Linked DNA regions of Arabidopsis thaliana. The protein of the gene in region 1 interacts with the protein of each later gene in a pairwise test. Each region holds a gene or a part of one and is shown in the gene's direction. Other genes may lie near its edges. The genes, in order: AT3G18960, AT2G24700 and BIM2.

What was found.
Region 2: the proteins of AT3G18960 (region 1) and AT2G24700 interact in binary tests that used the Arabidopsis thaliana proteins (3 or more experiments, as listed by UniProt).
Region 3: the proteins of AT3G18960 (region 1) and BIM2 interact in binary tests that used the Arabidopsis thaliana proteins (3 or more experiments, as listed by UniProt).

What each region holds. Positions count from the first base shown.
Region 1 is NC_003074.8:6,537,317-6,546,658, forward strand, and holds AT3G18960 (AP2/B3-like transcriptional factor family protein), read left to right. Parts: upstream 1-5,139; 5' UTR 5,140-5,301; coding exon 5,302-5,433; intron 5,434-5,621; exon of another isoform or gene 5,622-5,665; coding exon of another isoform or gene 5,666-5,686; coding exon 5,687-6,113; coding exon of another isoform or gene 6,114-6,139; exon of another isoform or gene 6,140-6,181; coding exon 6,182-6,252; 3' UTR 6,253-6,360; downstream 6,361-9,342. Other genes in the region: AT3G18950 (Transducin/WD40 repeat-like superfamily protein), read left to right, coding at 1-1,005; AT3G18957 (uncharacterized protein), read right to left, coding at 4,219-4,312, 4,433-4,491; MEF20 (mitochondrial editing factor 20), read right to left, coding at 6,383-7,801; ETP1 (EIN2 targeting protein1), read left to right, coding at 9,198-9,342.
Region 2 is NC_003071.7:10,510,494-10,521,185, reverse strand, and holds AT2G24700 (Transcriptional factor B3 family protein), read left to right. Parts: upstream 1-5,774; 5' UTR 5,775-5,897; coding exon 5,898-5,975; intron 5,976-6,050; coding exon 6,051-6,330; intron 6,331-6,405; coding exon 6,406-6,542; intron 6,543-6,636; coding exon 6,637-6,904; intron 6,905-6,971; coding exon 6,972-7,081; intron 7,082-7,169; coding exon 7,170-7,434; intron 7,435-7,518; coding exon 7,519-7,805; intron 7,806-7,894; coding exon 7,895-8,137; 3' UTR 8,138-8,302; downstream 8,303-10,692. Other genes in the region: GLR2.3 (glutamate receptor 2.3), read left to right, coding at 565-895, 1,628-2,952, 3,037-3,349, 3,445-3,851, 3,923-4,306; AT2G24696 (transcriptional factor B3 family protein), read left to right, coding at 10,284-10,356, 10,676-10,692.
Region 3 is NC_003070.9:25,940,029-25,950,669, forward strand, and holds BIM2 (BES1-interacting Myc-like protein 2), read left to right. Parts: upstream 1-1,600; 5' UTR 1,601-1,775; coding exon 1,776-1,881; intron 1,882-2,051; coding exon 2,052-2,136; intron 2,137-2,397; coding exon 2,398-2,467; intron 2,468-2,550; coding exon 2,551-2,646; intron 2,647-2,782; coding exon 2,783-3,144; intron 3,145-3,271; coding exon 3,272-3,401; intron 3,402-3,484; coding exon 3,485-3,571; 3' UTR 3,572-3,920; coding exon of another isoform or gene 3,921-4,119; 3' UTR 4,120-4,215; downstream 4,216-10,641. Other genes in the region: MGP3 (male gametophyte defective 3), read right to left, coding at 1-727; AT1G69020 (Prolyl oligopeptidase family protein), read right to left, coding at 3,921-4,119, 4,216-4,409, 4,498-4,714, 4,831-5,255, 5,384-5,503, 5,592-5,933, 6,027-6,171, 6,263-6,485 and 2 more; AT1G69030 (BSD domain-containing protein), read right to left, coding at 7,401-7,442, 7,538-7,602, 7,689-7,873, 8,359-8,456, 8,588-8,694, 8,778-9,234. UniProt on the Arabidopsis thaliana protein: Positive brassinosteroid-signaling protein.

The sequences.
Region 1 (9,342 bases):
CATGTCTACTCGTTGGCTGCTTCTGGAGATCTTTTATTCACTGGATCCGATTCCAAGAACATTCGTGTTTGGAAAGATCTCAAGGATCACACAGGCTTTAAATCAACCAGTGGATTAGTTAAAGCGATTGTGATAACCGGAGATAACCGGATTTTCACCGGTCATCAAGACGGTAAAATTCGGGTCTGGAGAGGTTCTAAAAGAAGAACCGGAGGTTATTCACGAATCGGAAGCTTGCCGACGTTGAAAGAGTTTTTGACGAAATCAGTGAATCCAAAGAACTACGTCGAGGTTCGTCGTCGGAAAAATGTTCTCAAGATTCGTCATTACGACGCCGTTTCGTGTCTTAGCTTGAACGAAGAGCTCGGTTTACTCTACTCCGGTTCGTGGGACAAGACTCTCAAAGTTTGGAGATTATCTGATTCAAAATGTCTTGAATCGATTCAAGCTCACGACGACGCGATCAACACGGTGGCTGCTGGTTTCGACGATTTGCTATTCACCGGATCCGCCGACGGAACTTTGAAAGTGTGGAAACGTGAGCTTCAAGGCAAAGGGACGAAGCATTTTCTTGTTAATGTGTTGATGAAGCAAGAGAACGCTGTAACGGCGTTAGCGGTTAATATAACGGCGGCTGTTGTTTACTGTGGTTCTTCTGACGGTACCGTTAATTTCTGGGAAGGACAGAAGTATCTCTCTCACGGTGGAACTCTCCGCGGCCATCGTTTGGCGGTGCTCTGCCTTGCCGCCGCCGGAAGTCTGGTTTTAAGCGGCGGAGCGGATAAGAACATTTGCGTGTGGAGGAGAAACGGTGATGGTAGCCACTCGTGTCTCTCGGTATTGATGGACCACGTGGGACCTGTCAAGTGTTTGACGGCGGTGGAAGATGACGGCGAAGGCCACAGAGAGAAAGGAGATCAGAAATGGATAGTGTACAGTGGGAGCTTGGACAAATCGGTTAAAGTGTGGCGCGTGACGGAGTCGGCGTCTACGGTTATTGGCTGAGATATGCTTGAGGAGAAGTGTACACGCGCCGCCGCCGCCTTAAGCGCGTGGTGAATGGTGATGCGGACTATGAAACAGAAGAATGTTCCGCGGCCCATGTGATCCCTGCCGTTGTTGTCAAGGCAAGTTTTTATGGCCGGCTAAAAGAAGCATTTCATACAACCAATAGGGAACTGCCATGTCGTGAAAGTATCTAACTGATTTAGAAAGTTCTTCTAGTTTATTCGATCTTCTTTGTAAAGAGTAACTGCACATATTTGAGTTACGTTTTAGACAATATTGTTTCATTGTATTAAATCATTTTATTTATATCTTATTTTATGGAATTTTAATACTCAGCTTTTGTTATTTTACCATTAATCTTTTACAAGAGAAAAATGGAATTGAAGACTTGTAATACTTACGTTTATAGGTTGATTTGTTGAAAAGAAAGAAGTCGTTGAAAAATGGGATGCTAAAACTTTTATGGTGTTTTCATGAACTTATGTGAAAAGTTTCACTTTCGTGGGATTAAGAAGTTTGGTGCACATTTATACATGTATGAATGCGCATTGACATCCAAACACTCCCTTATTATTTCTAATAAATTTTAAATTAATAATAGATCTTGGTTTCAAGATATTAATTACAAGTACAGTATCAGACAAATTTGTTTTTCCAGAAGTATAAATACAATCAGTTGTTCTTGCCGTATGATTGGTTGCATTAGTATTCGCTCTGAAAATATGACCATTGTTAGTCATGACTCGTAAGTCTAAGTAATAAATTGTAACATTTTTTTTTTTTTTTTTTGTAACATTACCTTATATGATTACAGAAAGAAACAAAATTCATGGACGAATGTACGAGAATGTGAACAGATTATTATTTAGAGGCTAATAAATGGTCCTATAGACTATAGTATACAAATGATCAATGACTAAACCTATAAGGCTATAACCAATACTCGTTGCTTTTGCAAAAAAATCCAAAAAACTGATAAACCACATCAAACCTATAAACCTAAACAAAGTACCACATAGATAGATCATGTATAGCTAGCTAAATGAGAGACCTCATGAGTTTTTGGGTTATTTCATATTGATCTAGTAGGAAAACTAATTAATAAGAAATTTATATAAGATGAAATATGTTCGTATGTTAGGTTGATTTGTTGGTTCAGACGTTCAGTTTGTTGGAAAAAGAATTAGCCACTGGAAAAACGGAGAGGATTGTAATATTCTATTTTTTTGTCTTCAAGAACGTAAGTAAAAAGTCTTCTTTTTCGTTGGATATATGTATTGCTATTTCTACACATTGACATTTGACATATAGACATGCACACACCACCCTTCTGTTCATATTTTCAAATAGCACGAAAAGCTGATAAATCTTGATCTATTAAGCAATTTAGAAGTTTAAGAGTTTGGTTAATTAGTTCTAAATTGTAAAATTCATAATGATAATTTTAATGACAATGAAGTTCCTAAATTTAAGTAGTAGAAATATGCTTTGATTCGTAGAAAAGAATCTCTGTAGATTGCTTTTATGTGTATTAACCCAACTATATTAACAATGACGATGTCTACAGATTTTCACTATAAAATTTTATTTGTCATTTTTAGTGTGTGTTTTTTTTTGTTCTCACGAGCATTTGCAGTTTAGTATTATAAAATATTTGACTGAAAGATTGTTATGTTTTGTACCCAAACAATAATATTTTTATATATAATTAAATCTATTCCGACAATTTTTTTTTGTCTAATCTATTTTTTAGGTTTAAGACTATCAGTTTGTAGAACAGTTGTTTCACGACTAAGTAAGAAAGGTGCATATATATAGCGACTCATCAATACATAAAGATGATTTACTTTCATGAATAGTAATCTAAATCCCAAAAGGAAATCGATTAGAGGCTCGGACTTTGGTTAATAGGAAAACATTTTTGAAAGACACATTGACATTCGGTTCAAATCCGGTTTCCACGCGCCGTTTATATAACTAAACGCAACATATATCTGAAAATAATTTGAATTGGGTATGGTCTCTGTGTTTTTCTCTTAATTAAGGATACAACAACAAACAACGACGTTAATTATTGTGCGCCACAGTAGTTAGGCAAATCCCCAGTAGTTTCTTGTTCATTTGAATTTAATTAATTAAGAATGATTAAACCCATAATCTTGACTATTTTATTATTCAATGCTATAATTGTTATATATATGGTAGACTATTATATATAGGTCTTGTTAAGTTAATCATAAATTTTCATAACTCACAGCCTCAAAAATATTAGGATATTTATAGTTTTGTCTTGAGGATTAATGTAACCGACCTTAGCTCAGTTGGTAGAGCGGAAGACTGTAGGCGTTGCAGATAATCTTTAGGTCGCTGGTTCGATTCCGGCAGGTCGGATTTTTTTTTTTTCTTTTTTTCTTTTCAACTTTAAAGATAAAACCCAGCCCATATTAAGGCTTTTAGTTCAAAAAACCTAGAGCAGCCGTTTATAATTAAATAAAATCAATAAATGACTCCACATGCAAGATTCTCATTTGAGACAGAAACTCTCCAAAGCGGCACAGCTTCAGCGGCGATTTGGAGACCCAAAAGCTAAGTGGCATTGGGCCAAACACAACCGAAGCCTATTTGTTCAAAACACAACCGAAGCCTATTTGTTCAAAACACAACCGAAGCCTATTTGTTCAAAACACAACCGAAGCCTATTTGTTCAAAACACAACCGAACAAAAAAAACTAAAATGTTAAAAAGAAAGCTTCAAGGCAACTTCCTCAAAAGGAGAAAGCTTCAAGGCAAATTCCCCAAAAGATTTAGCTGACTATCAGGTTTGAATGTTTATAATATGATGTAGAAAGCTCAACCTAATGCATCTAGCATAAATAAGGACATCACTTAATCCAAAACCTTCAAAGAGATGGAATAATAATCAAAATAAAAACTTATAAGCCTAAACAAATATTCGAAAATTCATTTTAAAACATGGGAACCTTCTTAGGATATTTTGTGCCTGGTCTCTCACTTGCACTTCTCGGTCTCTGGCATGTAATCAATACCATACAATCTTACTCTCTAAATTCCCCAAACCAAAATTTCACCTCATGATTCTGGTTCCCTTTCCCGTATAACAAAAAACTCAAACATCTCGAGCTCATCGTCATTATCATTGTTACTTTCTTATCCATTTTCCTCCTAAACTCAGATTTCCCTTTCCTTAAATTATCGTCTTTCAAACCGGAAATCAAACACATCTGCATAGTCTTCCAACTCATTTCGTTTGCGTCTTCCACTCTCATCTTTGACGTAATAAATCCTCCCGATAAGGATATATACCGGTTTCATCGGGCTTCATGCAACATTGGTTTTCATGCAAGAAGTACTCTTCTTTCTTGATTCTCACTCCACTGATCACTTAGGTCTTGAAGGCCAGTACCATGTCCTCCTCGAATTCGCTGCCTTCGTCTCCTTCTCTTCAGCTCTTGCGTCGACCATTTACCCTAAATCTTTTTATGCGTCTCTTGTGTTCTCGGCCTCGCTCATGTTTCAAGGATGCTGGTTCTTGAACATGGGGTTAATGTTTTTAGATCCAAATTATGTCCATATAGGGGTTGCTTGAGAACCACGACCGATACACCAAGAAGTAACAACAGTACTATTGTTGATCATAGTGGGCTGGTTTGAGAGTCTCCTTGTACAGAAATTATGGCACAAGCGTTAGCGAATCTTCAGTTTAGCTGGATTTTATCAGCTATATTGATTTTTACATTTGTATTCTCTCTCAAAAGTTTCGGGGAAAGTCGCCGTGTTTCCCAATTGCCGGTCGTCAACGTTAGAATACGAACGTAATTTTCGACGAGGAGGTGATCGTTCTACTGTCGTGGAAGCCTCGACGAATCCTTTTCGAGAATATATTTCGTCTCGTTTATATTAATGTTGTAATAGTATAGAAAATATATTTTGTTATCGGTAGGTAAGCTTTTACTATTTGATGTAACTAGCCTTTGATTGTTATGACATGTAGCAACGAATTATACATTGGTTATTGATAAAAGCGTATTTCCATGATATTTTTTTTAATTTATATACAAGGTTTATACTGGTATAACTTCAATAATGGTAAGACTTATCTTTTGACTAGAGAACTGTATAAAATGAGTCTTGGAAAACGACATAGAGTTAAAGCAACTTTGTCACTCTTGTCAGATAAAAACTTATCGGTTTCTCTTTTCCGGCTTTAACTCTCCACTCATCACTCTCCACTCTCAATTTTCACCTTCTCTTCTCTGAACAAGGCAAACAAAAATGGTTACAACCCAAAACACGAAGGCCAGAGTCACCTCCGTCTCTCACCGCCGATCACAGCAAGATCCTGAGTCGCCGGTGAAGAAGTTCTTCAAGTTGGTCTTACCTTCAACGATGAAGGATAAGATGATGGTAATTACTTAACACTTAGAAAAAACTTGAAATAAAGTGTTTGCATGTGTGTTGTTATCCCTGTTTCAATTTCTAGGGACTATATCTGAAGATTCACTAAACAGTGTCCATTTCTTTTGTTTTATCTTGGACTAGAGATCTAAAAGGGATACACTAATCTGATCATTTGTTCTTAAGAAATGTAGAGAATTTAAGATCTGACATTTTGTTACTTGTTTCTGAAAATCTCATTATGTTGAATAACTTTGAGCAGAAGATTCCGCCAAGATTCGTGAAGCTACAAGGGTCTAAACTCTCAGAGGTTGTTACATTAGAGACTCCTGCGGGTTTCAAGCGTTCCATTAAGCTCAAACGGATCGGTGAAGAGATTTGGTTCCATGAGGGTTGGAGTGAGTTTGCAGAGGCTCATTCCATCGAGGAAGGCCACTTTCTCTTGTTCGAATACAAGGAGAATTCGAGTTTCCGTGTAATAATCTTCAATGTTTCGGCTTGCGAGACCAAATATCCACTGGATGCAGTTCATATCATTGACAGCGACGATGATATAATCGATATTACAGGCAAAGAGTTTGTTGGAACTCAAGGTACAAGGAAGAATAATCAATCTGTTAATGGTGGTGATACAGAGCACAAATCCAAGAAGAGATCAAGAGACATCGAACTTGACAAGATTCTACACGGTAAGAAGACTTTGTTCTTAATATAGATTAAGAAGATTGGGATCTGAATATTTTTAATCTATGTGTAGATCTTGATGTGATGAATCCAATGCATGTGCTTAAAGAAGAAGAAGAAGACAAGAGAGTCTTCAGGGGATAACAGAGCTTTTAACAGAACCGAGACCTGCAAGTTTATTTGTTGTGTAATGTTAATTAATGACTTGATGAAACTAAAAAACTTTCATTGCAAAATGAGTAGTGTTTTGAATCCTGACCTGTAACAAGCTATGTTAAACAAAACTGTAACCAGGTCTTGTTTTGATTCTTCTTTCTTTCATCTCCTTCCTCAGCTTCTCTACCTCTACCCATTTCCCTTTATGAGCTAACACATTCGATAAAGCGACATAATCTTCGCACTCAGAACCCGAAAGCTTCTCGTCCTCTCGTTCTATCTCGAGAAGAGCCTTTCCGATCTCTTCACCCATTACAGTCTCTCCATAAATGCTGCAGGCATTGCAGAGGCTTCTTAACAAGATAGCGTCAGGCTTTATAGGCATAGCTAATATAAACTGATAAGCCTCTTGTATCCGCCCTGCCTTACCAAGAAGATCTACTATGCAACCATAGTGTTCGATAACCGGTGTGACACCAAATCTTGTCTTCATGCTCTTGAACAGCTCGATTCCTTCTTCAACAAGACCTATATGACGATAAGCCGAAAGCAAGCTAGTGAAAGTTATTTCGTTTGGTTTGATCCCAGATTCCGCCATTCGGTTTAGAAGATTCGGTGTTTCGTTTCCTCTACCGTTGAGAGCTAGCCCCGTTGCCATTGAAGTCCATGTAAAGACATTTTTCACTTTCATTAGCTCGAACACGGAGAATGCGTTGTTCAAGCAGCCGCATTTTGAGTACATGTCGACAAGTGCAGTACCGATAAAGACATCAACTTCGGGTGTGAACCCGAGCTTTTCTATGTAACCATGAACGAGAGAACCAATTTCGAGCAAACCCGTCTGAGAAATGGCTGAAAGAACACAAACCATGGTTGTATCAGTAGGTCTAACTCCACTACCACAGCAAGAGAATCTCCTAAACAAAACCATAGCCTTTCTCGCATTGTGATTGCCTTTATCCTTATGTGAACAATATCCACCTATCATTGCGTTCCATGTAACAGAGGTTCTCTCAGGCATTTCGTCAAACACCTTCCTTGCATAACGTAAATCTCCATTCTTAGCGTAGAAATGGAGTAAAGTGGTTCCAATCAATTCAGATTCATATAGAAAGCCAAGCTTTTTCACCATCCCATGAACAATTCTACCAACCCGTAACGCCGACGACGAAGCTGACCTAGCACAAGCGCCAAGGACGAAGACAAAAGTGCGCTCATTGAGATAAAGCAACGAACTTTTTGATGCATAATTGGCAAAAATCCGAATCGAGTCCTCTGGTTTGCTACATTTAAGCAATGTGTTGAAGAGAAACTTATCAGGATGACCAAATCGAGGAAACACTAGTAAATGAGCAAGCTTTGAGCTGCTTTCGGTTGATGGCTTTGAACAGTAATGGCCTATGAGTTTGCCAAATAGAGAATTATCATGGCAGCCATTGATGACTAATTGAGCATGGATTTGCTTAGCTTGAATTAGGGTTTTCGAATTCTGTTGCAACAAGGACAAAAATCTTGGTCCTGGAAAAACAGAGCTCATAAGCACCAAACTCTGATACTGTAATGGATTAAGGCAAAGAGAAGGAGAAACAAAAGCTAAGAGATAAAATAAATATCGAAGAATCTACAGCACAAACCCATCTTCATCATAATCATCATCATGGCTACAAGTACCAAATTTGATGGAGATTAGGTATTTACAGACTTCTTCTTAAACCCTAACTTTGTTTGTTCTACTCAAACAATTTGAGTTCCACTCAAGAGGTTATATATAATGAGGTAAAAACAACTTATCCACATCGATAACACAAAGTAAACCCGAGAGAAAAAACGAGACACTGACGCAATAACGACACAGACCAGAAGAGAGTTTTTTTAGTTGTTTTTAAATTAAGATACTCCTACACTGTAAATCCCTTTCTAGTGAGAGCTAGCTACTACCACTGGATTCAGTCTTCAACAAATTATCATATCCTCAAGCGCATCATCACAACAAACACTTGTCATACTAGACAAACACTCCAATAAGCTTCTGTCACGTGTCCCTTATATTCCTCCACTCCACTCCACTTTTGCCCATGTCATTCATTGCGCATCTCTGTTTTCCTATAACAAATCTCCCGTATTTGAGAAATCTTTACCTCAAGGTAGTTTGAGACAGATGATAAAACATCTAATTTGCTAATTTCAAAAATTACATGGACTATGGTGTCGCCTATGCGATGTCTACTGCTTCATTGATCAACCTCAAAAGCTAATCCGAAAATTATGAACAAAATTCTAACAACATAGAACAGAAACATACAGCTCTCTCTATATCATTTGATCAGATAATCTCAACGAACCCACCTCAGATTATACAAAAGCAAAAAAAACACTAGAGATTCTTTCGCTGACAATCCATACGCTTTTTAAACTATTGATCCCTCCAGAACTGTATCCGATATTCACAGATTTTGCCTTGATTTTGGAAGGCGGAGGAGGATAGACCGGTACGGATGTCGGTGAAAAAAACTTGGAATCGTTATCGTGTTGGCCAGGTGGTTTTTTTTTTTTTACACGTCAGCATATTTGGCCGGTCCTACTTATCTAAAGTACAGTAATAATGTCATACACGTCAGCGTAAACTGATAGATCTTCCTTGGACAAAATCTACTTCCGATAATGTTGATTCCCTTCTGTCTGAATTCTCTCTAGTGTAAAAAATATTCTCTTGAATCCTTGGTTTTCCATAGCGTGTGTGTATTGATTTACAAATATAGAATCTACAGAAAACAAGATTGAGGGTGCAAAAATGAAAATATATTCAGAATTGAGGGAGCAATTTGTTACATTTCCTCTTTCCAGTCTATGTATATATCTCGCAAGAGGAAAGCTGAAGAAAAGCAAAACCCTAGAAAATAAATAATATTCCGTGGCGCCTGCGGCAGAGATCAATGACGATACCGGATCTCTGTAACGATTTGGTCGATGAGATACTCTGTCGCGTTCCGGCGAGGAATCTGAAACGGTTACGATCTACCAGCAAACGATGGAACCGTTTATTCAAAGATGATAGGAGATTCGCAAGAGAGCACATGC
Region 2 (10,692 bases), on another chromosome or scaffold:
TTCGTTTTTGTTACTTAATCAGTCAACGTTTTATTACACTCCTGATTGTGTTTTACCATGATTATTTTCATGTTAAATTTATTAATTGCCCAGTCTTTGGATTACTTCTAAGTCCTAACATAACTCTCCGACTGAATAATAATTTATTGCTCGACTTTCATAGAAATGAAAATGTCATAACTTTAGATACACAATACAAGTAAACTATAGTTGCAATAAGAAAATTACAAGTAAATTGTAGAAAGATAATAAAGTTTATTTTTCTGTTACTTTCAATCAAGCTGTACTGTATTTTATGTTTATTTTTTTGTGTCAAGTGTATACAAAACATTATTTTCTTGCAATATATAATGCTAAGTCCTTTCCTACAAAACACGAAACCTTCTTTATTTTTGATTAAACTACATGCACACGATGGCACAAAACCATCTAAATACAGAAATATCTGTATTAAACATTGCCGCGAACTTTGAAATCGTATTTGCTTCTTATCTTCACAATGTTTCATTGCTTATTAGGATGAGATATTAAAAAATTCAGCAACTATCTAAAATTTTGCTATATATGTGTGCATTATTTAAACCAATAAGCATCATCTATCACTTATCACCTAAAAGAAGAAAGAAAAATCTCCAAATGAGGACCGAAAAGCTTTTCTTCTGCATCTTGCTCGTCTTCTTCTTCTGTTTGGAATTCAACAGAGGACAGAACAACGGCAAAACCCTAGTCGATGTCGGTGTTGTAACAGATGTCGATACTTCACACTCGAAGGTTGTCATGCTCTGCATCAACATGTCTATTAGTGATTTCTACTCTTCCAATCCCCAGTTTGAGACAAGGCTTGTTGTCAACGTAGGTGACTCCAAAAGTGACGTTGTAGGTGCCGCGATTGCAGGTTTTTTAACTTCTCCTCTCCAGCCTCTTGCTTTCTCATATATATATATATAATATAATATATATTTTATTTGGATCAGGACTGGTTCGGATCCTGTACAAATTTAAAAATTGGCCTTTGTCAATACTATTTTTTTGTTTTAAATAACCATATATCTATATATATGTTAAAAAGAAATTGATATATAAAAATTTGGGCCCTTTTAACAACATAATTACAAAAACAAAAACATAATTATATATAAGAAAAGCATTTGGACCCTTAAATTTGCCCAAATAAAGTTTTGGACATAAGAACATTTGTTTCATAATGTAATACACCGACCCTGGTTAGGATACATAATGTAATATATCTTATGAACTCTCATGATTATTTTACTATACATATAATTAATGGTAAAATATATAGTATATTTGTAAATAGATGTAAATAAAATGACAGTTATTTTCAGAAGACAAGAATTGTGAAACTTTTTTTTATTGGATTTGACAAGAATTATAGTGATGATTATTTTGCAAATGTGTAAAAAATGATTACTTTGCAAAACTTTTGGTGATTGGCAATCCCATTGAACATTCCTAGTATAATAAATACTACAATATAATTAGAGTTAATTAGAATATATAAATAATTATTTTCTCCAACTAAAAATGTTTCTACTTACTTCCAAAGATAGTTTTACTTCAAACAAAATAAATATGATTTTTTTTAATGTTTTTGGCATTGTCACAGCTCTTGACCTGATAAAGAACAAACAAGTGAAGGCTATTTTGGGGCCATGGACATCTATGCAAGCTCACTTCCTGATCGAGATTGGCCAAAAGTCCCGGGTTCCTATTGTTTCCTATTCTGCAACAAGCCCAATTCTTACTTCCCTTCGTAGTCCATACTTCTTACGTGCTACGTACGAAGACTCCTTTCAAGTTCAACCAATAAAAGCCATCATCAAATTGTTCGGATGGAGAGAAGTTGTGCCAGTTTACATTGACAACACCTTTGGTGAAGGTATAATGCCTCGTCTTACCGATGCTTTACAAGATATTAATGTCCGGATACCTTATAGATCCGTTATCGCTATCAATGCCACTGATCATGAAATCTCCGTGGAGCTTCTTAAGATGATGAACATGCCCACAAGAGTGTTCCTTGTCCACATGTACTATGATCTTGCCTCAAGATTCTTCATTAAAGCAAAAGAGCTTGGTTTGATGGAACCAGGATATGTCTGGATCCTTACCAATGGAGTTATCGATGACTTAAGTTTGATAAATGAGACGGCTGTTGAGGCTATGGAGGGGGTATTGGGTATTAAAACTTATATTCCAAAATCCCCAGATCTTGAGAAGTTTAGATCTCGATGGAGAAGTTTATTCCCACGGGTGGAGCTGAGTGTCTATGGTCTGTGGGCTTATGATGCTACCACCGCACTAGCGGTAGCCATTGAAGAAGCTGGAACAAATAACATGACTTTCAGTAAAGTGGTGGATACAGGGAGGAATGTTTCTGAACTTGAAGCTCTTGGTTTATCTCAGTTCGGTCCAAAGCTTCTCCAAACACTCTTAACAGTTCAGTTCAGAGGACTTGCAGGAGAGTTTCGTTTTTTCCGCGGGCAACTGCAACCATCGGTGTTTGAGATTGTCAATATAATCAATACCGGAGAAAAATCAATAGGATTTTGGAAGGAGGGAAATGGTCTTGTGAAGAAACTTGATCAGCAAGCAAGTAGCATAAGCGCTTTATCTACTTGGAAAGATCATCTTAAACACATTGTATGGCCTGGAGAGGCGGATTCTGTTCCGAAAGGATGGCAGATCCCGACTAAGGGGAAGAAGTTGCGTATTGGAGTTCCCAAAAGAACCGGCTACACTGATCTTGTGAAAGTCACAAGGGATCCTATTACCAATTCAACTGTAGTCACAGGTTTTTGCATAGATTTCTTTGAGGCTGTGATTCGAGAACTGCCTTATGACGTCTCATATGAGTTCATACCTTTCGAAAAACCCGACGGAAAAACAGCCGGTAATTACAACGACTTGGTCTACCAAGTGTACCTCGGGGTGAGTATGAGCACATACTAATCATTCATCAATATAGCATTTATAACTATACTAAGTGAACTCTTATTTGCTTCTCTGTCACAGAGATATGATGCGGTTGTGGGAGATACAACCATATTGGTGAACAGGTCTTCTTACGTCGACTTCACATTCCCATTTATTAAATCAGGTGTCGGATTGATCGTTGAAATGACAGACCCAGTAAAGAGAGACTATATACTTTTCATGAAACCTTTGTCATGGAAACTATGGTTGACTTCCTTTATCTCTTTCTTCCTTGTCGGTTGTACTGTATGGGTTCTCGAATATAAGCGTAATCCGGACTTTAGTGGACCGCCTAGATTCCAAGCTAGTACCATCTGTTGGTTTGCCTTCTCTACCATGGTTTTTGCTCCAAGTACATTTAATCTCCCCTCTCTACATGTCAGCATATATATGTTCCTATATATCATGCACCTTGCTTGATTCTTATTCTCGATTCCCTGTCTGCAGGAGAAAGAGTATTTAGCTTTTGGGCGAGGGCCCTGGTTATCGCATGGTACTTTCTCGTTCTCGTGTTAACCCAGAGTTACACAGCGAGTTTGGCATCGCTTTTGACATCACAGAAATTAAATCCAACAATAACCAGCATGAGTAGTTTGCTTGAAAAAGGAGAAACAGTGGGTTATCAGCGAACATCCTTCATCCTTGGAAAGCTTAAAGAAAGAGGTTTCCCGCAATCTAGCCTTGTGCCCTTTGATACTGCAGAAGAATGTGATGAGCTTCTAAGTAAAGGACCAAAAAAAGGTGGTGTCTCTGGAGCTTTCTTGGAAATACCTTACTTGAGACTCTTTCTTGGACAGTTTTGCAACACATACAAAATGGTTGAAGAACCCTTCAATGTTGATGGATTCGGCTTTGTAAGTTCCTATATCAAAACTTATGTGAAAATTGCATTAAATGGTGAGAGATCATAAGTCCTTTTTCGCAGGTTTTTCCAATCGGATCACCTCTAGTGGCCGATGTTTCAAGGGCCATCTTAAAAGTAGCAGAGTCTCCAAAGGCAATGGAGCTCGAGCGTGCATGGTTCAAGAAGAAAGAACAAAGCTGTCCTGATCCAATTACTAATCCAGATCCAAATCCCTCTTTCACCTCTAGGCAGCTTGACATAGACAGTTTCTTGTTTCTGTTTGTTGGCGTGTTACTTGTGTGTGTTATGGCACTCGGAAATTTCACATATTGTTTCCTAGCGAAAGACCAGGTTTCGTACCTCGATAAGGTAGAGATGAGTCCGTGTTCATCAAGTCAACAAATGCCTGTCAAGAGGAAGACACAATTAAATATGTCTCAAGTTCATGACCAAGACAGTCTTTAATTTAACAAAAAAACATATGCTATTATTATACCAAACTATTGTACTTTTTTTTTCTTTTGAATGAAGAATTGTACTTTATTTTGTAAATAAGGATTTTCAGAAACAAATGACCCATTTAAGAGAGACTATCAAAGTTACAATAGAGGTAGATTTTATTACGTGTTATGCAAGACATTAAACCTAATGCTATAAATTCTTATGTGCTAACGACTAGTAGCATATTAACTTATCTGGAATTAGGGTTATACTTTTTCTTTTTTGGGTTATACTTATATGCAGTTAATATAATCTAAAGAAATTTTCACGTTTATGCTGAAAAAAAGATGTGGTCTCAGCGCAAAGTGAGATGTGGATTTCATAGTTTGACAATTAAGACATTTTAACATAGAAGTAGAAAATAGAAAGAATAAATATTAGAAACGAAAATAATTTGGATAATTGTAGTAATAGTGTTAGTTTAACCACTTTTTAATATACTTAAATGCATTCAAATGCAAATCTATTATTGTAGTAGGACAAAACCAAGTACAGGTGAATAACTGGATATATTGGTTTATTAAGATACAATTGTGTTTGTCCTGCTCTGCTTTATATCCGTAACTCCTCTGTTCTTCCATTCAGACCCAATACATATTGGTTTTCACTGGAAAAGGAGACAATAGATGGAACTGTTCACAAACAAAAGAAAAGATGGATATTTTGGTGCGTTGCGCTTTGTACTTTGTAGTGATTAGTTTGGATTTTTTCTTTTTTTGCTTTGTGGGGAATAAAGAGATAGCCTAGATGCACGTGATACGTATTCCTACAGTGCTACTGAATACTGATGTACAAATAGTTCCCTCTCGTGATTTTTGTTTGTGGTTTCAAGAGAAATGTTGCTTACATTGAAGATTGAACACACTATTATTTTAAGCCTTTTTTGCGTGTACTTAAAATATTCTTTTACATTGTTAAAAATACAAAACGTTTTTCAGTTTTACAATAAACTCACTTTTTGAAAAATATAAACGTAAATGCAAACAAAGAATCGAATTCTTATTCTTTTTGACAAAAACGAATCCACAACGTAACTAACTAATTTACTGTCAAAACCATATGATATTTTGATAGCAAACATGAATGTTTTCACTTCCTAAGATTTAATTTCTTGTAAACTATTTTTACATTATTATGGTACCTACGTGTTGAATTAAGCATATTTAGTTTCAGATCTTTTTCTTCTTCTTTTTTTCTTTCTTTTGGTTAAAGACCAATGTCTTCTCAAGATTTATTTTTCTCGTTCATTGATATTTGCTAAGTTTATTTGATGAATATTTTCCATAACCAATCAGAGTCTTTATGTTCAATCCCAACACTATTCTCAGTCAAAACTTGTTTTTTTCGAAAACAATATATAGTCTTTGGAAAAAGCTGATAAAGGTCTTTTTTAACATTGCTTTATAGAAAAAGCTGAGAAAGTTTCTTTGACGTTTTGTATAGAAAGCTGAGAAAGGTTATTTTTTTACATTACAGAAGTAAGGGATACAAAGTTGTTAGTTCATCTTCTCTCCGCTCAGAAGAAGAAAAACTTAAAAAAATTCAACGTCTGAATATGGCTAATCCACTTCTCTATTCTCCGATCAACCCACAATTCTTCCAACCACTTCTTCCCGGTTTCACCAACCACCTGGTACTCTGTTTCTCTATACTCTCTCCGACCAGTTAAGTTACTTCTGTTTGTAACTCATCTAGCATGCTGTTTCAGGACATTCCTGTGGCGTTCTTCTTGAAGTACTTAGTGGGAACTAACGTAGGAAAAACGGCTGAGCTCAGATCAGATGCATCGGAGATGACATGGAAAGTGAAGATAGACGGCCGGAGACTCTCTAATGGTTGGGAAGATTTCACAATCGCACATGATCTCCGAGTTGGTGACATTGTTGTTTTCAGACAAGAAGGAGAGTTAGTGTTCCATGTCACAGCTTTAGGACCAAGTTGCTGTGAGATTCAATACGGAGAAGATACCCTTGAAGAGGATAAAATTGGTAACCTTAGTTTCATATTAAATATCATTAGCACATTTAGAATGAGTCTAAGAATATTACTTAATCTATCAACAGAGAAACTTTGTGGTACGGAGAATGTTTCAAGTAAGAAAAAGAGTCTAAAGAGAGAAGCTGAGTCTGCACCAGACAATTCACTAGATTCTTGTTTTGTGGCCACTGTCACGGGTTCGAATCTAAAGCGCGATACATTGGTATGTTACTTCCATATTACTCATTACAGTAATTTTTATGTTATTGTATATTCTTGATAACTCTATCTAACTTGGCTTGTGGCGGCATTTGCAGTATATTCCGAAAGAGTTTGCATTGTCAAATGGTCTGATGAACAAATATCAGATTGTGTTAATGAATGAAGAAGGAGAATCATGGAAGATAGACTTGAGACGCGAGGCATATAATTACGGCCGGTTTTACATGAGAAGAGGCTGGAGAAGTTTCTGTATTGCTAATGGGAAGAAACCTGGAGACGTTTTTGCATTCAAATTGGTCAAAAATGAAGAAACACCTATGATACAGTTGTTCCCTATGACCATTGAAGATTTAGACAAACTTCGTAAGTTAATTTTCATAATCCGTTGGTTATTGAGAAAAATCTCAATCAGATTCTATAATTGATACAGAGAGTCTTCCAAGACACAAGATTCGAAAAACAGAAGCAGCTCCTTCTTCACCGGACCTTTCTTCTTTTGTAGCCACTGTCACGGCTTCAAATCTAAGCCGAGATAGACTGGTTATGATACTCCTGACTTACATATATTGATTTTGATTTGACTGAGAGGTGTTTTAATGATATTCATGGTGACTGTACTTGACTGCAGTATCTTCCGAAGACGTTCATTATGTCAAATGGTTTGTTGAAGAAATTTCAGATGTGTCTAATGAATGAAGAGGGAGAATCATGGACGATAGATGTGAAACATGAGGCACATACAGGCCGGTTTTTAACGATAAGAGGTTGGAGAAGATTCTGTGTGGCTAATGGGAAGAAACCAGGAGACTTGCTCAAATTCAAATTAGTCCATAACGAAGAAACACCTGTGCTCCAGTTGTTACCCTTGAACAGTGAAGATCTACACAAACTTAGTAAGTTGTTTATGCTTTATTCTTTCAAGAAACAAAAATATTGAAATAAAATTGAATAACAAGAAGCACTTTCTTCCTCTGCAGATCCTAGCAATGACACAAGGCATGGACAGAGTTTAAAAGTTACCAAAAAAGAGTTTCTTGGCATGGAAGCCACAGAAAATGAGTTTCTTGGGGAAGAAGTTTACTGTAATGACTCCTTTAAAGCTAGCGAGAAAGATACTCTTCCTTTTGCTGAACCTATCAATGAAGATATAAGGCAAGGACAATGTTCACAAACTATTAAACAAGAATATGTTTCCACAGAAGAGAAAAACTCAACAAGCCAAAACCGATTTGTGACCTTAACACTTACACATTCAAGTAAACTTGTAAGTTTCACAAGAAAACTCTGTTTTTTTCTTGTTTTTTTTTTTCCACTTAATACTCTCGATATATAATCTGATGATGGTATCTACAGAATCTTCCGTTTGAATTCATGAAGCGGAATGGAATCAAAAAGGCGGGGAAGATAACGATGGTTGATAGATACGATGCAAAATGGCGTACTTCACTACTGATGGACAAGATCGGAACAATGAGTTTAGGAAGAGGTTCAAAAGGTTTCTGCGAGGTTAATGGTGTTGAGATGAATGAGTCGTTTATCTTGGAGTTGATTTGGGAAGACACAGTTCCTCTTCTTAAGTTTTGTTCCAAAGTTTGAGAACAATATTAAGAATGTCTAGGATCATCGCTCAAATAAACTTCTTTCCTTCTATGGTTTAATTTTCATGTTAAAAAATGCCGTTTAAATCATCATTAATTCAGATAATATTGGTTTACTAAACAAGAATCGTTAAAGATTTTATATAATTATTTTTGGGGGTCACTAAACATCTTGATTGTCGACACCAATCATAAACTTCATACTTCAGTATGTAGTAGAGATAGACTTCTAATTAAAGGGCTATCTGCTATACATGTAGCAAAAAATCAAAATTAACATCTTATACTGTATATCTTTTTTTATCATCATATATTTTTATCTTTATATTTTACTTTAAATGATGTGAAAATCATAGATAAAATATAGGAAAATGTAACTTATATTAAAGTGAAGAGTCATTTATATTAAAGTGAAGAGGAAGAAAACAGAAACAAGTTGTAAGATATTAAGCCATATATTGCAGAAACAAAAAATGGACAAAAATCCTTACTTATTTTACTATCAAATGATTTGATATTTCTTTGTATTTTGTTTAATGTGAAGAAAATCAAGGGAAAATCTCTCTCATTTATAGTAAAGTGAAGAGGAAAAAAACAGAAACAAATTGTAAGATATTATATCATAAATTGCAGACACAAAAATCCTTAATTATATTATTATCAAATGATTTGATCTTTCTTTGTATTTTATTTAATGTGAAGAAAATAAAGGGAAAATATAGGGAAAATCTCTCACATTTATAGTAAAGTGAAGAGGAAAAAAACAGAAACAAATTATAAGATATTATACCATAAACTGCCGACACAAAAACCGACAAAAATCCTTAATTATTTTATTATCAAATGATTTTATTTTATTTTAATGTGAAGAAAATAAAGATAAAATATAGGGAAAATATCTCTTGTTTTTCATATTAGAAAAATATATTTTAGAAATATGATGTAATGATATAAAAGAAAATCTAACAATAATGTATCATATATATATGGTATATTTCGGTTTGAAAAAATAACACATGTATAAAGAAAATTTTAATTTTCCGGGAAAATAGAGAAGAACGAGAAAGAGAGAAAGTTTGTTAAGCACTTTGCTCTCATACCATATTATTCATAATCAGAAAGTAAATTCTCATAATCGAATCATAATATTACAACTAGTATTTATAATACATGTGTATATAGCATTTTACTAAGCTAAAGGAGACTTAGTGTATTTCTATATACTTAGATGCTAATTTGAGAGGTCATGTTGTGGATTTTCATAGATTCTCATTAGATGAACCCTCAAAACTATTGTATAACATAACTATAATCGATGTAGAAAAAACAGAATCTATGACATACCACGAGAAGACCTACTTAAAAAAAATAAACGTTGAATGGAAAACTAATAAAAACTAGCTAGACCAATCTAAATTAAATTACAAACCCATATTTTATCTGACTTAACTTCTTAGCTTGTTAAAAACATTGTACGGGGGAACTTATCTAGTAAAAAAGAGTATTATCCATTAAATTAACTTCCTAAGAATAAAACCTTGACCATACCAAATTAAACTACAAACCCATGTCAACGATTATTATCCATCAAATTAACTTCTTAAGAATAAAAAGTTTTCTAAAAAACTCTTAGAAGCAAAAAAAACAAAAAAAAATAAATTTTACAAATCCAATAGCTTATCCGATTCAGCTTTTCAACCAATCTAAAAAGATATTAGTTTTGCGCGGGAGCTTAACCACTTAACAATAATCCGTCAATTTGGTTGAAATATTAATTTCTCTCATAAATAACCGTTAACAAATCATCTCATAAATTAAAGTTACATCTAGTAAAGAAAGGTGAATTTTAGAAGCCCCATAAAACAAAAAATTTAAAAAGTATAAGCAAAACCAAGGTTGGTCAAATTCCTTAACAAAATCATCAACTAGATTTAACTCATAATTATTTAGTCTACGTACGCGCCCATGTTTAAAAATTTCCCAAAAGTGCATGCTCTCTAAAAGGTAAAAGAAGATTCTTATCTGAACATTAGGTTTTTTTTCTTTGTTGGGTCTAAAATCATTTCGGACATTACACAGTTTCATCTCCGTCTCTTTTTCTCTCCGACCAGAATATCAAAATTAATTCTTCTCCACTGACAACGATGCTGTTCAACGTCAGCGCCTGTGACATCCGTGACAAACCCATGCCCAGCAACAATGATATCAACAAGATCGGTACGTTTTGTTCTGATGATTTTCGTTTTTAATCAACGAGCTATAGTCAGATCTGAGTTGAGAGAACAATCCTTTGAAGAAAGATTTCGAAAATCTGTACAAAAAAAAGCCTTGTTTGCATCTATATGAACGGAGATTTCTTACATGTTTTACACAAGTAAGAAGCATCAGCGTCTAAGGACAGAAGAAGGTCATGATGATCAAGACAAGACCGGTTTCATCATCACTTCCGTTCTATATTAGTTTGATGAGTTTTAAAAACATAAAGTTTTCGATCCGAAGATGGTTTTAACATGTGGGATTTGTTTATTTGACACAGATCAGCTTGAAAGAGTA
Region 3 (10,641 bases), on another chromosome or scaffold:
CATTCACTAGCTTAACAATGCCAACGCCTTCCGCATTAGTCATCAACAATCCCATCATCTTATGCATAGTGATAACAGCCATCTTATCAGCCGGTAACTGCTCCATAAAAGGCGCATACGGAATCTTCCCTTTCTTGATTTTAAAAGTATCAAGATCATCTTGAATAGCATTACGCACAGGCTCAAACCAGCCTAGAAACAAAGACTTCATATAAGGTAAATTCGGTGCAAGCTTCTGCTCACACATATCAGCTAGAATCTCTCTACACTCTCTCGCTGCTCTTTCCCATTCTTCAGTCTCCATTTTCACCTGTCTCTGCTTCAGCATATAGAACTTCTGTGCTCCCATTCCCGCAATGACTCTCTTTGGCGGTATAGCTGCAAGCCTAGCTTTTTTACGGATTCTCTCAGTTTCTTTCTCCATTTCCGTTATCAATTCATTAACTTCATCAGACCCAGAAGACTCATCTTCAGGATCAGTCGAATCAATAGCTTGCGCAGCTGTAGCATACCCTTCAAACACATAACATTGACCATGACGAAACGAGCTTAATCCACCCATTTCGTTGACTGGATTTATAGATAAACCATTTCTAACGCCACTGAGATTAACAGAAGACAGAATCCCACGGACTCTATTCACTGGATAATGAGTACCGGAGGAGCTAGAATCAGATAAAAACTTAACCTTTCTCAATGAAGCTCTTCCCAGAATGTTCCTCCACATTTTTTGAATCGTTTTTGTGATCGCCACGAAATGGTAATAGTGGCTGCTTCAGATAGTTTACTGCCTCCACGAGCACAATCTCGGGCTATGTAGCTACTTGATTTTGTAGAGTTATTAATACAAACATAGAAATCAAAGAGTTCAGATTCGAAGAACAGATTAAAAACAAGACTTGGGTGAAGAGAAGAGAGATCTGGAGAAAAGAGAAGGCGCCGTGAAGTACAAACACAGCCGCCGAAATAAACCCTTCATAAAACCTTTGGTTTCTGCTTCACATTTCATGGATCTTGTCAAACCCGACCCGCTTATCAGATCCGTTACGCTCTTATTTGGGCTCAAAGCCCATATTCTGGCACGAGTTATACATTACCATGATAAATATATACCTAATTAACATTACAACAACAAATCAGAGTGGCGCAGCGGAAGCGTGGTGGGCCCATAACCCACAGGTCCCAGGATCGAAACCTGGCTCTGATAGTATTGTTACTCTTTTTTTTTTTTTTGTAACTTTTGGGCTTAGCCCATGTCTGATAAATTCGAATAAGGTATAGTATTGTTTTGGAAACATAGGCATATGTTACTTCTTTTTTTCCTTTGTAAAGTTTGGGTTTGGCCCAAGTCTGATAATTCCATTCGGCCCTTTATAGTATTGTTTTGGAAACATAGCCATATGTCACCGTTCGATTAGAAACAAACATAGTACGTGAAAATTAACAGATCAGAAAGAGACCACGTGCATCACGTGACCACCTTAAATCTGATAGGTTAGAATCTCGTCTTATCACGTGAATCCCACGTGTCATCACAAGCTACGGTTCATTTAGAGGCCTAACCGGGTAATCACATCAAGTCGTACACGTCTCCAAATCACGAAACTGACGGACAAAAGCTCAAGTAAACTCACGTAGTCTCTCCCACAGCTAACTAGAACTCAGCCGAGTCACGAGGCACCCAAAAAACAAAAAACAAATAAGCAACAAAAAAGAGCTCGTCGACGGCAAAAGTTGAAAATAAAACAATAAACAGTCGAAATTCTCCGGCGAAGATGAGAACCGGAAAAGGAAATCAAGAGGAAGAAGATTACGGAGAAGAAGACTTTAACTCTAAACGTGAAGGTCCTTCTTCCAACACTACTGTTCATAGCAACAGAGGTAAATTGTTCGATTTGGGAGACTTTTGAATTTTTCTTAGTTGTTGTTTCGTCAATTTGTGTTTTGGTTGGAGCTATTGTTGATATGTATCGAGATGGATTTGAATAGTTTGGGATTAGATTTTTCTAAGTTTTGTCTCTGTGTGATTCGGTGTTTGATTTTGAAAGCAGATTCAAAGGAAAATGATAAAGCTAGTGCGATACGTTCTAAACATTCGGTCACTGAGCAACGTAGAAGAAGCAAAATCAATGAAAGGTATGTTGATATAAAGTGAGGATTTCAAACTTTTTGGATTGTTGTTTTTGTGAGAACTTGAGATTAGGAGTAAACGCGACATTCTTTGTTTTGATATCTGAATCAAAATTCAATTACTTTGCTAACAAAATCATAAGAATACTTAGGACTTGTGTTTGGGAATTTTGCTCTGCTTCAGTTTTGTGGTGTTTGATATAGGACTTAGTTACATTATAATTATTGTTCTTGTTCTGAGTGCTGAATTCATAAATCTCTTCTCAGATTTCAGATATTGAGAGAACTAATTCCCAACAGTGAACAAAAACGTGACACTGCTTCATTCCTTTTAGAGGTATGTCATGGTATTTGATGATGCTTTGTGCGAATATCCTGTCTTTTAGATGTTGTTAGCTTAATACCGCTATTCCATTCTAGGTGATAGATTATGTTCAGTATTTACAAGAGAAGGTGCAAAAGTATGAAGGATCGTATCCAGGTTGGAGTCAGGAACCAACAAAGTTGACGCCATGGGTAAAGTTTTGAGCTTCTTCTTATGTCGGTTTCTCAATGAGTTTCTGTGATTGTAGATTCTGAGTATGTTTTTGCACCCGCAAGGCTTTCTTTGTGTGACTTTTAGCTGAAGGTTATGTTTTCTTGATTGGAACAGAGGAATAATCATTGGCGAGTTCAAAGTTTGGGGAACCACCCAGTAGCTATAAATAATGGATCTGGTCCAGGGATACCTTTTCCTGGAAAGTTTGAAGACAACACTGTGACTTCGACACCTGCAATTATTGCAGAACCGCAAATCCCGATTGAATCTGACAAAGCAAGAGCTATAACCGGCATATCGATTGAAAGTCAACCTGAGTTAGACGACAAAGGATTACCACCACTACAACCAATTCTTCCAATGGTACAAGGCGAACAAGCTAATGAATGTCCTGCAACTAGTGATGGGCTAGGCCAAAGTAATGACCTGGTTATTGAAGGTGGAACCATTAGCATCTCTAGTGCCTACTCGCATGAGTGAGTCTGATCTTCTAAGTCTTCCTCGTTTCTGTTACTGTGCTGCCATTGATGTGTTCGCTTCTACCCTTTTTTTTTAACTGCATTGTGTACTAATCTTGTGAGACATTAATTCTGAAATGGCCAGGTTATTGAGCTCATTAACACAAGCACTCCAGAATGCAGGCATTGATCTGTCGCAAGCAAAGCTTTCTGTGCAGATCGATCTTGGGAAGCGAGCCAATCAAGGTCTAACTCATGAAGAGCCATCAAGTAAGGTAAATAGTTGGTTCGAAATGCTTCATACTTAGTTTTGTAACAATAGCCATATATCATGATGTTGATACATTTTTCTATACAGAATCCATTATCATATGATACGCAAGGAAGGGATTCAAGCGTTGAGGAAGAATCTGAACATTCTCACAAGCGGATGAAAACACTGTGACATTTCTCTCTCAGGCTCCACGGCGCTGGAATATATAAATGTATTGACAGATTCCTTGTATCGTGTACATTGTTCGGCTTCTAGGGGTTCCTATAGTACTCGTTAAGATAAACTTTGGTTAGTAGATTCTGCGTTTTTTTGTGGTTCTGAGTTTGTATCATCTTCTGCATCATTCATGTAACCTATCAAATATGATCTCTTGTGGTTTCAAGTTATTGCATCATTTTTTTCCGATTTGATCTTCCTTTTTTGTTGAGAGAGCGAGATCAAAGGCTAGCAATCTCTTAACCTTAAAGTGAAAGACTATTATAAAATCATTTGATGCTAAACCAAAGATGATGTGATGCTTTTATCTATTGTTGTGATGACCCATAACTTTGAGAAGAAAAGCATAATCAAAGGCAGTCTCTTCGCATTGAGCATAGCGACCACCTTCACCAAAATGCCCTCCGTTCATATTTGTTTTCAGAATCACAGCTCGGGAGCAGTCGTGGCACGTACTATCCCTTATCTTAGCCACCCATTTTGCACCTTCCCATACTCCAACCCTGACCCAATAACACACGCAAACTATGATCCAAAGATTCTTACTTAAAACAAAAAAGAGATATGGGTTTAAGGGTTCTTTTGTGAAGCTAGCTTGCCTTGAGTCATGAAACGAAGTAGTGACAAGCATGGACGGATAGCAAACATCTTTTCGTATCTTATCATATGGAGAATAGCTAAGGATCGATCCGAAGTCAGTTTGGTTGTCTGGGTTCCCGAATTCTTCATGGTCCAGGAGTGTGAGAGGTAAATTTGGATCCGATAATGTGTTTAATACATCTACAAAAGGAACCTGCCCAAATGGTACACACCTTAATGATTTGAGCTTTTGATTATTCTGGACACAACTTAATGCATTTGCTATGCCATAATATTCTTACCTTCAAAATCACAGCTTGAAATAGACTCGGGTGCATATTCATAGCTGCAGCTGGAAGAATAGCTCCTGCACTGTACCCAACAGCAGCAAGATGATGTCTATGCACATAGCCTTTTTCGACTAGATATTTAGCACTGTATATGAAATCTTGGATTGAATTTTGTTTCAACGATCTAGTTCCGGATTTGTGCCATGAAAACTCCCCACTGCCTCCTCCCCTGAGGCCAAAATAAAACTCTTATAGAAGCACATTCAAATCAACCACTATTATACCAAGTGATGTCAACTTGAAGCAAATGATAATTGAATGCTTTGGTTATGTTTAGTGACTGACCTCACATCAGCAAAAGCAATCACCCAACCACGATCAAGCATACTCAATCGATTTGTGCACCAGCTTTTGTCCAAAACTTCTCCATAAGCGCCATAACCTATCAACATTCCCGGTGACTCACTCTTCTTCCATGCTTCTCGTGAATACAGAATTGTAAGAGGGACTTCAACTCCGTCATGTGAAGAAACTTCTTGTCTTTCACAAACATATGTATCAGATAAGTCCTCCCATTTAGGCATTCGAGAATCTAACTGACCATCTTCTCCCTCGCTGGTTCTATCATTAAGTTGACCGTTATTCTCTGTAGAGCGATCTGCTGTGTACCATGGCTTACTACTATCAGAATTATCTACAACCCCTCCCTCCTGCTGCACAATTGAGAACAATCTTCTTGACACGTCATAGTCAACGATAGTGTCAGGAATCTGCAATTCCAACAATAACAGTAAGATATTCAGAGAAAGTATCAGAGTAGAAAGAAAAATTCAAATGCAAATAAACTATGTTATGGTTCAAAGCTAAAACAAATAGAGAAACCCGTTTCTTTATTTACCACAGGAGACGAAAGCACCACTCGGTATATAGAGCTCTGGAAGTCGTGGTTTGAACCAGGGGCAACACTGCATGAATCAACTGGAAGTGGAAAATACCAGGGAACAAGATCATCCATATGCTGCACAAATGAAACATACTTTAGTGAAAATGTATGAACGCAAAGCGACAGAGAAAAAACATACAACTGCAATACTAATCAGAAATACCTTCGTATTTGCTTTTATGGGCATATCAATGGAACAGAGCATAGGTAAGCCTTTCTTATTAAGATAAAGCACTAAGTAGTCATTGAACATGTCCATATCTTGTATAACCACATCATCATCTGGACGGAAAACAGTCTGCCAGTCAGATGCTTCAATTTCCTCTACTAAGCATCTAGTCAAATAGTAGCCTTCACCAGACCACTCACTAATTGCATTTGAGGGAGAATTTGTAAGAATGTAAAAGAACCCATTGTGATGTTCAAGAAAACACTGCACGCCAGGAACTCGTTCGCGAGTTCTTTGCAAACCAGCCATTGGCTTATCAGCATTTACAATATAAACCTGAAAACAAGATAACTCAGCTTGAGCCTAAAGTATATCGATGATAGACACTAAGAAAACAAAAACAAAAATGCAGTTGAAAGAGGTAAATTCCTCGGATGAAGTCCTTGAGTTTGAATTGATAGTAACAAACTTGCCATCTTTTGTGGTCGTTATGTCTACACAGAAACTGGAATCTCTTTCGGTAAACACTACGGCATCATCTCTCCCATCTGATTCAACATTTGTGACAACAACCCTGCAAAAACTAGTCGCAGTTGAACAAACACTCTCCAAGTTTAATAAAATTAAAAAGCTATCTATCTACTAGTATGAGTCACTGTATTTGCCTGTGAGGTCTTTGGTTTTCATCTGTAACAGTGTAAAACAAGGTGATTCCATCTAAAGCCCATGCCAAGCTAACAACTCCATCAACTTCCAACCTCGGAACTAACCGATCAGTTCTTAAATCCTTAATCTGGAGAATGAAACGCTCACCTCCTTCGGGATCAACCGTGTACGCCAGATAGTTATGATCAGGTGAAACCCGACAAACTCCAACATGAACATAACCTGAAGTAGTACACATAACACTTGCTTAGAGACTGACGATGACTCTAAAACTAACAATGAAACATTATACTAAAGGAATGAACTTTTACCAAACTGCTCTGCAATTTGATTCCAGTCAAGCACAACTTCTTCTTCTTCTCCACGAAAAAGACCAGAGAGCCAATTTGTTTTACCCTTCTCCAATCTCCTACATAGAAGAGGATACTCTTTTCCTTTGGGTATGTATTGTCTATATAACCTGCTCAATAGACAACTTAAACCAAATCAATCAAAAAGCTCACTCCTTTATACTCGTATCAGAGAAAGTTACAAGATTAGAGAGATGAACCATTGTCCCCAACGCTCAGGAGGAGTGAAAATCTCTTCTGGAATACGAGTTTTCATCTCGGAGAATAAATCACGCCTCAGGGTTTCTGTGTCAGCCATGAAAGCTTGAGAGTATGAGTTCTCACGCTTGAGGAAGTCGACGAAATCGGTGTCGTCCGTATTCTTCATCCAATGGAAAGGATCTTGTCTTGTGATCCCATGAGATGAGATTGCGAATGGGATCTTCTTTGGAACCGGAGGAGCTTCCGTTGGAACAGAGAGTGATGATGTTCGTCCAACAAAACATTTCGTCGAGAAAGACAAAACTGATGATATTGTCGCCGGCTTGTAACGCCGGAGAAGATATGTTACTGCCATTAGCAAACTTTAACCTCTCCAGCGACTAATATTTATGTCAAAGTTTCGCTTTTTAGGATAATTTTGTAATCAAAGTCTGTTTTTTTATAATTTGCGAATTCGAATGAATAAAATGTGTCTTCATCTTTTGCATCAAAAGCTATACACTGAATCACTGATGATGAAACAGATCATATACCATCCTCATTTACTTCCCAACAATTGGGTATGTAACAAAACTTAATAATATTTCTAATTTTTTGCTGCATTTGATTCTTTCTCTTCCTCAACATCCTGCAAACACGTGAAGGCAGATTTGGATTAAACCAAGATGTTCTGTTGTTGTATGTTTTAAAGAACTGAGAGAATAATCAAACGTTTTCACTTACAGAGTTGCCAATCTTGTCAAAGTCATCATCACCCAGGCTTCCTCCATCATCACCATCACCATCATCTGCAAGTTTTACGATTATACAGACAAAATCAGGATTTAAGTCATAGCTAAAACTTGGGAAGCTACATCAAGTCAAGGTGTCTCACCAGGAGCTTCGTCACTGTCTTCTAGATCTCCCAGCAGGAATGTATCGAGATCTTGCTCAGACGATGCAGTAGATATTCTGTTCTTTTCAGCTGATTCTGTCCTTCCAAGCCCTGGACTCTTCTTAGCTTCTTCATCTTTACTCTCTGCTTTGTTCCTAAGTTCCTCCATGTACTTCCTTTCATATCTGATTCAAAACAAATCCTTTCCGCTTAATTCATGCAGCTATCAAGTCTCATAAGAATGAAAGACAAGGGTGCTCAATTCACTAATCACTTCTCAGAAATACACAAACAACTAAGGTGTCAAGATCTTCTATATGTTTTCAGTCATGTTCCTTTGTTTTTTATATTCTCATTTGTGAGTTACATGGTTTTCCGAGATATACTGGACCAAGCTAGAGGCAGAATAGATGATTTGCAGCCACAAGAGAATTCACTAAGACTGTCTCTGGATCAAATCCGTGCTGATAAGGTATAATCCATTTCCCATATAATTACGTATGGTTTCATTTTACCAAACTTAAGCTGCAGTGATTAAGCTATGAGACTACCTAGTCATACAAATATAGAGATCTTAAGCTATCTTTACCACCTCCTATGCGCTTAATGCAATTCTCAGTCTAGTGTCGATAACATTTTCAGACTTTGAGAAGAGATGGTAGATCCTTACGGTGCAACATGAGTGCTCACTAAGGTAAAGTATATCCTCCAGAACCTCCTTTCTTTCATAACTCGTGGGCATAGTTCATATCTCAACTTCGAAATTTGCTGCAACATACACAAAATGCAAAATCAAACAATGTAGCACAGAAGAGATGAATCTATAACTAAACCAATTATGCAAGATCAGCTTCTCCAACTAATCAAACTAATTCCAATCTCAAATTCGAAAAATCTACCTTGACAGAACCAAGAACAAGAGTGGCATGTCTCTCCTGCCACTCAGAAAGATCCTTCCGAACATTCGACGCACTTGTTTCCAAATCAGAAACTTCCGACGATTCATCTAATCCACATTTACCATAACACATTTCAAATCCTCAATTCCAAAACAAAGATAAAGCAACAACAACAACAAAACAACAATACCTTGTTCAGGAAAAGCCTGGAACGTAGCAGATGTCAAACCTTTAACAAACTCTCTCAAATCATCAGTAATACCAAAACTAACAAGCTCAGATTCAGAAATCTCAGAACCACCACCACCAGATCCTGATCCTCCTAATCCTCCAGGTATAATGTCGGCAATCGATTTTATATTCTGGATCTGATCAGCTTGTTTCAATGCTACGACTTTGAGCTGATCCGCTTTCGTTGAAACCTCAGCAGCGAATTCCTTTGACTTCTTCGCCGTCTCGGCGACGAACTCGGAGACATTGATCGAATCAGCTTTCTTAGAAGCTTCGAGAGCGAACTCTTTGGATTTTTTAGCGGTTTCGGTGACGAGATTGACGAATGTTGTTGAAGATGATTGTAGTGTTATGGTTTGTGATTTCTTCGCTGCTTCTTCTGCAAACGATTTCGCTCTCTTCCATAGATCTTCCATTTTTTTCTCGGTGTGTTGATTTTTTTTCTTTCGGATCTGTTATTTTTGCGTTACTGACGAAATTAAAGGTAACGTTACGGCAAACGCGGAGGGAAACTTCTGAGTCACGCAGAGGTGTTTGACTTTTAAGAGTTTATTGGTCGCACCATTCCTAGTTTCCTATTGGCCAATGGATAATTTTGTTTTCGTTTGAAAATATGGGTTATAATTTTAAATATGAAATGTTTCAAGTTTAAGAAAAGAAGTATTCACATAAAATAAGTGTTTGAAACAAAGTGAAAGTGTGAAATACTTGACACCATAATTAAGTCCATAACTCTACCAATTTTTATTTTTAAAGTTAGGTTTAGACTTACATCATAACAACATTTTATATCCACTACAATAATCTTATGATAACTATATTGTGTTGCAGATTTTGGTACTAGGAACGCCAAATAATCGATAAAACCAGCACAACTAGACCTCAAATTTGCTAACACATGGTATTTGTGAATCTTCTACAGTACAATAGAAAACGAAACAACTGTTTTTGCCAATAACTATAGTACGCTTTTACTATATTTGAGCAGGAGAACAACAAGAAGAACAAAACTAGTTATGATTTTCAGCAAAAAGACCATAAAAAGAAATAATATGGTTTGGGGAAAAAAAGAAGAAGAGATAGATCGATGGAGAGTGATAGGTACGAAAGAATATATGGTTGGGGTGTTGTCGAACTCAAATCTTTGTATGCAGCCAGAGACCACTCTCTGCCCCCGACGGGACCACTCCTTCGCCAAACTATATTATTATTTGTATTGATAATATCATGTTAATTCGTGTAATCGTAATAATGAATTAACCTACTATAGACACAAGTATAGACTAAATAAAGTTGAATCGAGGTTAAATAAAGTGGCCTGTGGGTGAGGCTGATAGGTACGTGGACCATTTTGGTAGATTTTGGTGAATAGATCGAGCCAAGTTGCCCATCTCTTTGGAGATTTATCCAAATCTTTTCTGATTGTTACGTTTTTGTTAATTTATACTTCAATATATAGCAGTCGTAGCTTGTCGATCGTTCCAATATAATCTACTTTTCATACTCTTTTTGTCTGAATGCCTGTATGTATTGAGATATTTGGTTTCAGATAACGTAAAAATATTTGTATTTATTACAAAATGATAGATCTATTTTAGTTTCCAGTTTTACAATATTGATAGTTTGATTTTGCAATAGTAGTTTGTACTATAAAGCCTATTATTGCAAAGGTGGACAATAATAGGTTAAGTAAAGCTAGGAGATTCATACAAACTATAATTTAAGGAACATTTGTAGAAATATCATCTATGTTACTTTGTTAAGAAATTTGATAACTAATATTTTTGACCATTTTAAAATTACATGTTTGCTAAAAACTGCAT